Caenorhabditis elegans: one gene and its partners. The protein of the gene in region 1 interacts with the protein of each later gene in a pairwise test. Each region holds a gene or a part of one and is shown in the gene's direction. Other genes may lie near its edges. The genes, in order: rike-1, git-1 and sahd-1.

Region 1 (3,756 bases):
AACGTCGGAACTACATAATTTGATATACTTGTTCACAAGAAAGCATTCATATAGGATACCTTGAAAGCTTCCACTGATAGACGGTAAGTTGTGTTTCCAGCTAATCCAATAAATGTGTAGTCGCGCAAAAATGCATCAACCAAAACTGTTTGAGATGATTTTTCCGTTTGTTGTGAACCTGAAATCGTAAAACTCAAATTGGTAAGATAACAATTATATTGTGAGCCTATCATATATTCTATATTCTGAATGTTCAAAATGGCCAGAGCTCGTACTTCTCATAACAGTTACAACTAATCGTTGTCTTGTCACAATTTCTTCATCGGAATCATGTTTCCATCGAATTCGAATTGCGTCATTTCTAACCTCAATTACATCGACACCATCACCTTCTCGATCTTCATCGATATCGTTTTCTCCTGCTAATAATTCGAAACTATTTATAGAACTACGAGCTTATTAACTTACAAACGAGTATTAAGTACGGAATAAAAATCAGAAAGTGTATGGGAAATCGCATTCGAATTAGATTGACGTTGTGAAAACAGAAAAATTAGATTGGATGAAGAGAAAAGGAGAAATCATCGTGTGTCAAAAAGGATAATATTGATAGAATTCTTTCTTGGTCTTTGAAAACGAGAGAAGAGAAAAATAACGAAAATTTGATATCGGTAGGAGAAAGGCATTTTATCGTGTCGCAATAAAAAAAACCTTGAATACAGTAATTCAAACCTGTCCTAATTTTTAGATATCTGTAAAACGAACTGGAAATAAATGAGAAATTCTGTGAAAGGTGGATATAAAATTGCAAATTTCCAACTTTGGCTAATTTCCCTGATCGAATTTTCTCTAAATTTAGAACTGCACAAAAAAGCGAAATTAGAATATGGTGAATGGTTTCAAAATGAGCGTGGCTTCTTCATTAGGTTCAAATAAGTATTAGAAAGAGTTGGGAAATTTTGATTTCAAGCAATTTTTTAAAATCTGAGAAATTTTATATGAGGAAACAGAACATTTCAAATAATGCTAAAACAGTTACTTAAAAGCAATGATTTTCATCATTTTTTAGGATATTCTATTTCCTTTTTTAACCGTGGCAATGTCCGTATGTTTCTCTCATTCTCTTTGTCGACGGATAAACGCGCCTTGCTCATTCTTATTTTATAATATCTTCTAGTTTTCTTCCGAATTTTCGCTGTTCATTGTTTTGTTCCTGTGTTTCAAAATAAAACTATTTCAATATTGCATGTTTTCGAAATTTCTCCAATCGTCAAAATTGAATCACTTTTAAATCTATCGAATTTCTTTCGGATTCGAAATCCAAATGGGTTTTGATAAATTAATGTCAAGCTTCGCGGCCTAGAATCCTTGCGTGTGCAAATGCGCCCTTTCGAAGTATCCGGATATATCCATAAATAATATTTATTTTCCGCCGAAAATTTTCCGGATAGAAATTTATTCGCGTGCCGCACACCACTCATCCGCGCGGAAAATATCTTATTCTTATTTTATTTTAGAAAATCCTTTTGCAAAATCGAATGCGCAAGTTTTCCCTAAAAATCGATAATTTCACACACATTGAACCTCTTTTCAGACAAGACGGGTCAACAGTTGGTTCAAACACAATAATTTTCAAGAAATGTCAATTGTGAATACAACAGAATGCATAATTTGTTATAATGAATATGGTGAGCACATTAATGAATTTCGAAAAAAACTTCTAAATTTCAGACACCGAACTCCGGAAACCTTGCATAGGCACATGCGGCCACTCCATATGTGAAAGTTGCAAACATCAAATGGTCTCATCAAAATGTCCACAGTGCAATCGAGAAGAAGCCTTCGCAATTACTACAATCAATTATCAAGTTTTAGAATTAATAAAGCACTTTAAAAGTATGCAAAGTGGGGGAGTAGCGCCACAGGCACAATCCACAAATGTAAGTATAATTTCCTTTTTCTATAAAAACCCAGAAAAAGTTTTTGCAGAGCTTAGACGAAGGAACATGCAGTGAGTGCACCCTACATTCCAAGAAATTACGAATTTGTAAAACGTGCGCCGTCGGAAAAGGAGTTCTGAAGCAAGCCGAAGGCAAAAAAGAATTAGTATTAGTTGTTGGAGATGATGGAGTCGATGAAGCAATGACACGAGCTAAGAAGATGGCGATTTGCGGTGATTGTGCTTTGGATGGGGCCCAACACGAAGGACATCAGACAATGCAGCTGGCTCTTTTGAAAAATAGTATCGAAGATCAAGCACCGACTAATCTCGGAAATAAAATCAGTAAAATCAGTGAGCTTTCGAAGCAGGTGTGCGATGATATCTCTGACAAATTTGCGGCGACAATTAAATCACTTCAAAATTACTTCGAAAAGCATGAAAAGTTGTCTCCGCCCGGAAGAAAGACTCACTTCAACAACATCGAAGCTGAAATGGAGAAAATAAGTGATACGATAGCTCTTGTCAAAGATGCTGGAACACGATTGGATTTTTTGAATAACGAAATCGAAGAGCACGATCGAATCGTTTTTCAAACTAAACAACCTGTTACTAAGGCAAATTTCGTTTTCGCTAGTCAGGATCCCGTATTGGTTGCAGGTAAAAGTTATATTTATGTTGTGCATTCTTGAACGAAAAAAGCTCATCGCGACGCTCGCGTGTCGTTCGTTGTTATCATGCTTTTGCATTTTATACAGACTCCTCCCGCGATTCCAGTCTAAAAAATCTCTCAAAATTATTCTTTTTTTCCAGATCGAAAGCAGAGTGCCCGTGAACCACTTTTGATTGGAGTCTACGATCCTAAAAACAGAGGATGGACGCCAGTTGGGCGAATGCCGAACCCAAAATCAAACTACGCTGTTGCCTGCAGCAAATCTCAAATTTATATAGTCGGAGGAATGAATAACGGATCATGGTTGAACAACGTTGAAATGTATGATCGGGAGAAAAACTTGCGAAGAGATGTGGGTTATTCTTTCAGCTTTTAAAAAATTCTCTAGAATTGTAAACTTTTAAAACAAATAATTTTTATTGATTTCAACAAAAATGTCAAAGTTATTACAGTGTAATAAAATGAAGCGTGGAAGAACACGAACGTCGGCGGGAATCCATAACAACAAAATGTACGTGGCCGGTGGATATGATAGCACTTATATGAATTCTGTGGAAGTTTATGATACTGATCAAGGAGAGTGGAAGGATGGACCATCGTTGCAAAGGCCTCGTGCCGATGCAGCGGTTGTTCCATGCAATGGAGAGGTTTATGGTATGATTTCGATTAATTAGTTGATTAAAAAAGGTTTAATTTCAGTGTTGGGAGGTTTCAATGGAAAAGAATATGAAGAGAAGATTGAGAAGCTGTCAGAACCTGGTCAAAAGTTCGAAATTGTGGGCGACATGCAAGGAAGTCGCGCCGGATTTGGATCGTGTGCCTTCAGAGGAAGAATCTACATTGCTGGTGGATGGAGTAACTCGAGTAATACGTTGAGATCAGTTCGAAGCTATGATCCATTGACGAAATCATGGAGAGATGAGCCATCGTTGAGCAAAGATCGAAAATATTTCACTCTTCACTCGACGAACGAAGCTATTTATGCTATTCGCGGATGTGCTGACAATTGGAGCTTAATCAATGAAGTCGAGCGATTTGATCCAGAAAAACGTGCATGGGAGATTATTAGTTGCTCCGGACCAATGGTTGGAGCCGGTTCATCTGCATCGAATGAGCAAGCTATTACATAAAATCGTGTATCTTA
Region 2 (3,756 bases), on another chromosome or scaffold:
TCATCACTTTAACGCGCGAATGCACATAAAGAGCCAGCCACGTTTGAACCGATCTGTTCCAAGCTTTCATTCCATCGCGGAATCCATCAGAAAACTCAACCTGAGAAGAAAAGCAAATGAAAAATAATAATTAAATAAAGGACAAACTTTTGGAATATCTAAATTAACAATTGCGTCACTGCTCATTTCAATGTTTTCTCTTGTTTTCAGCTTATCGAAAGCATTCAAATCCGTTGGTCCCATGATGATTTTTGGATTTGAAGCAGCTGGGTAAATTCCGATTCCGAGAATAACACAAATCGACTCCGCAATTGCCCAGGCACTGAAATTTGTTAATACTATTACAAAAAGTAGTGAAATAACTAACCTGTATACTCTTGTTTTAAACACAACAAAAATTAGAGCAGCGTAGACGAGTCGAGTAAAGAATGAGACCTCCCAGATTGCATCCGATCGAAGTATCTGAATGGGCAAGTTTAAAAATGAAAAGCATTGTTGGGAAACGCACATCAAGTGGGAAATAGTGGTTCGTGATCACAAAAACTGGAACCGACCAGAGGAGACGAACAAATCTAGACTTCACTTCCAGTGTGGGATCCCATGATTTTAGAATTGGGTTTTGAGAATCAATAAGCATTTGATATGTGTAGTATGGTCCTGAAAACAATTAATAATAATTGCATATTGTTCCCAAATGTCTATTTAGAAATTTACTATGCAGAGTTTATTTGAGCAGCTGCTGAAATACACATTTCTGGTCAACTCAAACTAACCCGTGAAAAGTCCGCAAAAATGATAAAAGTAGGCAAACTTCTCCAAAATAGTAGGAAGCTCTGTTAAGTATCTTTTCGTCGGATTCTCATCGCTTTTGTGAACCCACGCGTCATTTTCTTCAAAGGTGATGCCAATTATCTGAAATAGTTTCAAAAAATAAATATTCCAGTAAAACACTTATTTTGGAAAATAATTTCAATCGTTGTAAGACCCATCGAGGAATGAGTCACTATTTAAACTCACTACCTAGTATAGAAATTTAGTGCAGTTGTTTCACAAACAATATATATGCTTTTTCTTTACTGTTTTTGAAGAAGGAAATATTTTCAACTATTACGAAAACAAACTCTCCGTAATGAACACGTCTTTTCTGAAACAAAAAACTTACTCTTAAAGTAATAATCAGTTGAATGACATTGGTGTGGCTGGCGACTTCGTTGACAGGCAAAATGTAATGCGCAAATCGAACAAACATCAGATAAGTGAATGTTGTGAGGAAAACGTAGAGTGGTGTGCTCCTGCAAGTTTAAATTAGTTTCTACTCGTTTTTTCTTGTAATATTACTTTTTGTTAGCCAACAGTTGAATCGAAATCGCAATCGAACAAATTCCCAGTGAATATACAATTTTTGGACCTGCAACATGCCATTTTGGTTTTTATTGTCATTTTCAATTACCAATAATAAAAAGAGACATAGCAAATCCGAGTGCTCCAGATGCCAATATATTATTTCCAATTTTCCGTACATAACAAGATGCTCCAAAAGAGAAAAGCAACAATCCGGTGTATATCCAATCATCTTTGGACATCAAGCCAAGGATATTTTCCATGATATTACCTGAAACAAAAAACGAATACTTTACAAGAATAAACCGTACTGGCGAACAAAAAATTAATGGCATAAACTGTGTACGTCGATAAATGTGCCAGCTGCGTGGGGAAACGCGTCAACACGCAGCTGACGTGTTTGCGGACGCATTACTACGAACACTTGGAGTGCGCACTGCGTGATGAGATCCGAAACGGCCTTGTTTGCAACTTTTGTCCCCCGCAGAATGATACAATCACTTTTTCTAGTCTTTAGTCGTTTCTTATGTTATTAGTGTGTGATTTTAACAGTTGCCGTCATTTTTCATATATCTTTTCATTCAATTTTCTCATATTTTGCAGGTAGTAATAGTGGTTGAAAAATGTACACAGCAGAGGCGCTTGACCGTAAGTTTTATAGTATTTTTCACAACAAAAAATGGATATTTTTCAGTCATAACATCACTTGAGCAAAAGGAATGCGATGACTGCGGCAAAAAAGAAGTCGAATGGGCGTCGGTAAAAAAGGGAACCGTGATTTGCTCCGAATGTTTCTGTTTTCATAGTTATCTTGGTAAGTTTAAAAAAACTTTAAATTTCTATTAAAACTTCTGAATACTATTCAATAACACCGACTATAAAATCTATAAATTTACACAAATTCTCCGTTGTTTTCCCAAGACCCCGGTTGTATGAAAATCGATAAATAGTACACTCACAGGCCCGTCAGTGAGCTATCTCCGTCATCTGCGCAAGAGTGCTTGGGATGAGGAGCATATTCGTCTTGTTCACGCTCTTAACACGTATGTTTTAGAATAGTTTAAACATAATAATGGAATTATCTATTATTTTTTTCAGATCTAACACCAACATGATATGGGAAAGTGCTTTATATGAGGGATCAACAAAGTTTCAGAAACCAATGGCCCAGTGAGTTTTTGCTATTGAATTAAACTGTAAAACAATTTTGTAAAACAATTTTGTAGAGACCCATCTCATATCAAAGAACAATTTGTGAAGGAAAAATACGAGAAGCTGACATTCCAACCGAAAAGAGGAAAGGATGAAGATTTGGAGAATAGTTTGAATCGACAACTCATTGCATGTGCTCGCAGTGATTTTGCTCATGTCACTTTAAGGTGCTTGTGACTTCAAAAACATTATAGGGACGAAGTTCATAGCAACAACACAAACTTTTAAATTTCAGACTCATCGCTCTCGGAGCTGATGTAAACTATCCTGATCCAGAAACTGGGGACACTGCACTTCATGTTGCAGCCCGAGAAGGCAATTCAAATCAAGTAGAACTTCTTTTCCTGTATGGAGCTGACATTATGGCACCAAATAGAGAAGGAATGCTTCCATACATTCTTGCTAGAGATGCGGGGCATGTAAGTTTTCTTACTCTCAATATGCTTGTTCAGTTAAGCATTTCAGGGCCAACTTTCACATCGCATTTATGAATTCTTCTTCTACGTTTTTGATCGCTTCTCATTTTTCATGTGCAATCGAAAAGCAGATCATAAGAACAACCAGGACTTTTTCATTCCTGAAGTCACTGAAAAACAATTCCTGACAAAAACTAATGATTCGAGAGCAGCGATCTCAGTTCTCCCGAAAGGTCAATTCTTTGACCTATGTGAAGATGCGTTTGATGAAACAGTTCGCAGAGAAAATGAAGTCAACTGGAACATGACAAAATGGGCAAAAACTGCCAAAGGGCCAACAAACCTTTTCTTGCCGGTATAGTTTTATGAAACCCATTCAAGCTATAAATATTTTTATAGCCAACTCCTCAAATGTCAGCTGCTCGCAACCAAAGAAGACAGAAACTTGCCAAATTCACTCCAATTCAGTTCACAATTCTCCTGATAGACTTAATCAAAGACCAAAAGCGCAGAATCACTGGAGACAATCCAGCACCAGTATCCGAACCACCCAAGAATATGCGAAAGTCAAACGACACTCCACTTAGAATTATGAAGTTAGTGGATCTTAGACGTGTGTAATTTAATTTGATCTTACAGAAAAAGCGAATACGCCGATTATGATGAAGTAGCTGGAATATCATGCAGTCCAATTTCGGGAATTGTTCCCAACTCTCAGGCTAATACGTTAGATGAATCGAGCAGCAGAGTGTGGGACGAACTATTGGAAATGAAAGAAAGACTTTCA
Region 3 (3,756 bases), on another chromosome or scaffold:
AGAATAAGGATATTCAATTGGAGTTGATACTGGAATCCCGTTCATTGGAGGGCATTGAGAAAACATCGGTAGATCATAACTCGCGAAATCCTTTTCAAATACCTGAAAGTTGTTACTCTTGAGTTGAAAAAAATATTGAAGGTTTAAAAAACTCTCAAAGCCTTATAAAACTTAAATATTTTCTTACAAATGGCAATGGGAGAAATATTTTGATGAAGTATTGAATGCCTTAGATCACTTTTCATAGTTGGAGATTTGAAATAAATTTTCATTATAATAATAAATTGAGTAGTTATAATTTTTGGAAAAGTCAACTTCAGGCTACTTACAGTAAATTGAAATAAATGAAATGAACAACTTACCGCTGGTTGTGAAATTTCGAATTCGTGTGCTTCTTTTGCTTGCTTTTCCAACATTGTCTTCATTTTTTCTTCCTGCGGACATATAAGTTCATAAGCTCCTTCAGAATTTTTGACAGACTCACTTTAGCACTTTCCAAGTTTGCCTGCTTCATTTCGTTTATATGCGTGGGATGATAATGGTGAACATGTACCTGGAATATACTTTAAAATTCATCAGAAATAATTTTTTACCATCAAATTGTTCCTGCTTTTGAACGTTTTCTTCTTTTTGCAATATGGACAGTGGATGACATTTGACTGACGAATGTGGCCGTGATAATGACTGGTGAGTCCAGTTTTTTGAGTTGATTTGAAGTCACATAACTGAAATTGAAAAATTATCTAAAGCCTACTTTTTTCAGACTGATAGTGAGGTGTGTTTTCATATCTCCATGACGGCAAGTCGTCTCCATCCCCTGCAACAGCGGAAAAGCAACGCTTTGAGCAGATGGAACTTGACTTCAATTCCAGGAAGGATTATTTGAAAAAAAAAACGTAAAGCTACTCACCTAAACATGTCAAAAATGTAATAAAAACAACATTTTAGAAAAGAACTGTCGGAACATCAAACAAATTTTTAAAATTTACTTTAAGAAACCGTTTTAATAAACAAAAAAGACACCTACCTCGCATCTAAAATATTTATGTTTGCATTCCAAATCGACATGAGTAATCAGTTTTGGTTTATTCTCAAACTTGTTCCAACACTTTGGACATTTGAATGTTTTTGTGGGTGATTCTTCCATTTATTCTCGAAATGGAAAAAAAGAAAATTGTCAAAAAAGAAAAACTGGGCACATTTCGCTCCCCCGTATTTTTTATTAGGAGGCAGAATTATCACATTTTATTCGGCAGGGATACCAAAGGGAAAATGATGGTTGTACGTGGTGTGGGAAGAGGAGAAAATAAATATGCATAGAACATTGATCCGAACTGTAAGGAGGGAAATTATAGTTTTTGAAACAAGTTTTTTTTAATTGATAAAGCAAAAAAAGATTGAAAATGACGTGTACTTTATGATAAAAGTGCGGTTTCCGTACCTTTCCTATCTATACTCTTATAGTTTATCAGAATATGTCAAATGCTCATTATACGGTTTTAACATAGTTCTAATTTTGTTGTTGAAAATTGTTGAAAGCATGAAAAAAGCCGCGTCAGGTGGATGTGTCTGCCTGATCTTCGCTGTTTTGAGTTTTGAACAGTTTAGATTTCGTATTTGAATAATTTTCTTGGAAGTTCAATTAAGGCATTATCTTCAGTGGTAAATCAATGGGAACATGACAAAATTTTATAACAATATGTACAGTTCAACAAATGTTCGATTTTCAAAAGTTTCGGCCAATTGCTAAAACTGAGTTTTCGCTAGGAAAATCAATATGATAGAAAGTTTTTCTATTTTTTCTAAAACAGCTTCTTGAACATACTTTCTGAGTTATATTCCTATTATTTCAATCTCCTTCCAGGGGACAACAGTTTCAGTATACTTATGCGTTATTTATGAATGCTTTCTTTTCATCTTTTTCCCGCAACATGGCATGTGCCCCGTGACGTTTTACGTACTGATAAATGACAAGATAAAACCAAAGTGACCAGCAGAGTTCCCCTCGTTCTCGTCTTTTTCTCAATATTTTGTTATTCACTTTATTAACTTATTTTGTTTCAGTTTTGCAGACAATTGAACACTCGTCACCAGACCCTCTTCTCAACTACTGAAATGTATCACTTTAAGATCGAAACGGCAAGTTTTTTTGGTGACATTGTTACACCTATCAATGTTCGAATCGTCTTTAGTGTGGACAAGTGTGTGTCTGAAAATGAGATGTTGTTGTTTTTCTTTTTTTTTTATTCCTCATCACAACTTTCTGGATGATGGCATGGGACCAGAGTTTCGTGCTCTTTTGAGATAGTTGGTCCCTCATCACGTGAGCAATCTTAATGATAGTGAGGGTGGAGTTAGAGTACAAAGACACCTCAGTTATCACAGAATGTTCGGCACTTTTTTCTATGGCACGAACTTTAATCTTGGTTAAAAATAAGTTAAAGATAATGTGTGTTAGTAAAACATATTTTAAGTCTTCAAATCAATCACTAAAGTGTCCACCACTGCTCCTGAAAGGAGAGGTATCGCTAGGTCAAGCCCGAGTCCAACTCTTTAGCTGATAAGTTTTGGTAATTTTCTCAGTTAACAAATTTTTAAATGTGTAACATTTGCTGAATAGGTAGGTATCTACCGGAGTTGTATAAACCAAATATAGGGCTGATCAGTGTGTATTTCACTCAAACTATAATAAAACCCGTTAAGATCTAGTCACATTAATTTAACTTCAAATATTCTATCAAATCGCAAAGCTCTGGTATAAAGGCACAACCTGAACTACTCCAGAATTAACTGAACTATGAGATCTTCAGACGCTCCTACCGTAATCCCTACAGTAGTACTCTCATTACTTCAGGTTTTGCTGATACATATATATGTGTTGATCGCAAAAAAATGTTTCCAGAGTTCTTAGCGTTCGTTCGAAACTCTGACAAAGTAGGAAAGTAGGATCTACCGTATTCCTCATATTAGTGCTCTGATATCAACTACTCGTACTCTGAATGTTTGTTTTATTATTAATTCATCATAGTGTCCTTTTTAATACAAAGTTTCAAAACAATCATTCTATAAAAATCACGTGTCATTTTTTTGCGTTCCTTGTTGAGAGCCAAGTGATATATATATAGGTGCATAATGTTGGACAACAGTAATGATTTCATTCATTTCTATTGCAAAACTATTTTTAAGTCTGAAATGGGCTTTAGGTATTGAAATTGTGAATTTCAGAATACCACCACAAGTTTGAAAGGTCCCCGATATCGGAGTGCATCCGTCATGGACAGTGGCCAACCATGGTTTCCAAAGATTCACACAAAAGAAGTTCGGCGTCGACTGAGTTCTTTGAATATTGCAACCCCATCATCTTCCCCGTAAGTTTGTAGAGCTGCAGTTATGAGGAAGTTATAGAAAAAAGTTGGATCACCTTTTATTGATATTGTACAAAATGTAGTCGTCGCGTAGAACCTACTCAGATAAGATGGAACCACTTCTAATTAGTAAAAAACCAGTTCTAATAAGCTTTTTCGACCAATTCCAGAGACACCCAGATTAGGTACGGTGGGATATTGTATACAATGGCCCCAAGCGTACCCCTTCCGTAATTCCTACAGTAGTACTACATTACTGCAGGTTTTGCTGATATTTATAATATATATATAAAATATTAATTTTGTTCAGAAGTTGGCAGACCGTGAGCCAAATTTTGCCAAGACTTTTTTCCAAAAACTATTGAAAATCCGGGAAAAAATCGTTGCATCA

What was found.
Region 2: the proteins of rike-1 (region 1) and git-1 interact in a two-hybrid assay, tested with the Caenorhabditis elegans proteins (one large-scale study listed by BioGRID).
Region 3: the proteins of rike-1 (region 1) and sahd-1 interact in a two-hybrid assay, tested with the Caenorhabditis elegans proteins (one large-scale study listed by BioGRID).

The regions. Positions count from the first base shown.
Region 1 is NC_003283.11:14,543,705-14,547,460, reverse strand, and holds rike-1 (RING-type domain-containing protein), read left to right. Parts: upstream 1-1,639; coding exon 1,640-1,688; intron 1,689-1,731; coding exon 1,732-1,940; intron 1,941-1,980; coding exon 1,981-2,599; intron 2,600-2,752; coding exon 2,753-2,964; intron 2,965-3,055; coding exon 3,056-3,266; intron 3,267-3,311; coding exon 3,312-3,742; downstream 3,743-3,756. Other genes in the region: C53A5.13 (Fibronectin type-III domain-containing protein), read right to left, coding at 60-178, 276-422, 469-520.
Region 2 is NC_003284.9:10,522,954-10,526,709, forward strand, and holds the start of git-1 (Arf-GAP domain-containing protein), read left to right. Parts: upstream 1-1,944; 5' UTR 1,945-1,964; coding exon 1,965-1,989; intron 1,990-2,035; coding exon 2,036-2,155; intron 2,156-2,302; coding exon 2,303-2,384; intron 2,385-2,439; coding exon 2,440-2,511; intron 2,512-2,567; coding exon 2,568-2,720; intron 2,721-2,788; coding exon 2,789-2,972; intron 2,973-3,018; coding exon 3,019-3,324; intron 3,325-3,368; coding exon 3,369-3,565; intron 3,566-3,608; coding exon 3,609-3,756. Other genes in the region: Membrane-bound acylglycerophosphatidylinositol O-acyltransferase mboa-7, read right to left, coding at 1-100, 148-322, 368-462, 509-657, 774-912, 1,163-1,292, 1,339-1,408, 1,451-1,604.
Region 3 is NC_003280.10:5,513,252-5,517,007, reverse strand, and holds the start of sahd-1 (Deoxynucleoside triphosphate triphosphohydrolase sahd-1), read left to right. Parts: upstream 1-2,115; coding exon 2,116-2,139; intron 2,140-3,225; coding exon 3,226-3,368; intron 3,369-3,756. Other genes in the region: ZK177.3 (C2H2-type domain-containing protein), read right to left, coding at 1-102, 363-434, 485-553, 594-725, 1,028-1,147. UniProt on the Caenorhabditis elegans protein: Has deoxynucleoside triphosphate (dNTPase) activity. dNTPase activity acts as a regulator of DNA precursor pools by regulating dNTP pools. Phosphorylation acts as a switch to control dNTPase-dependent and -independent functions.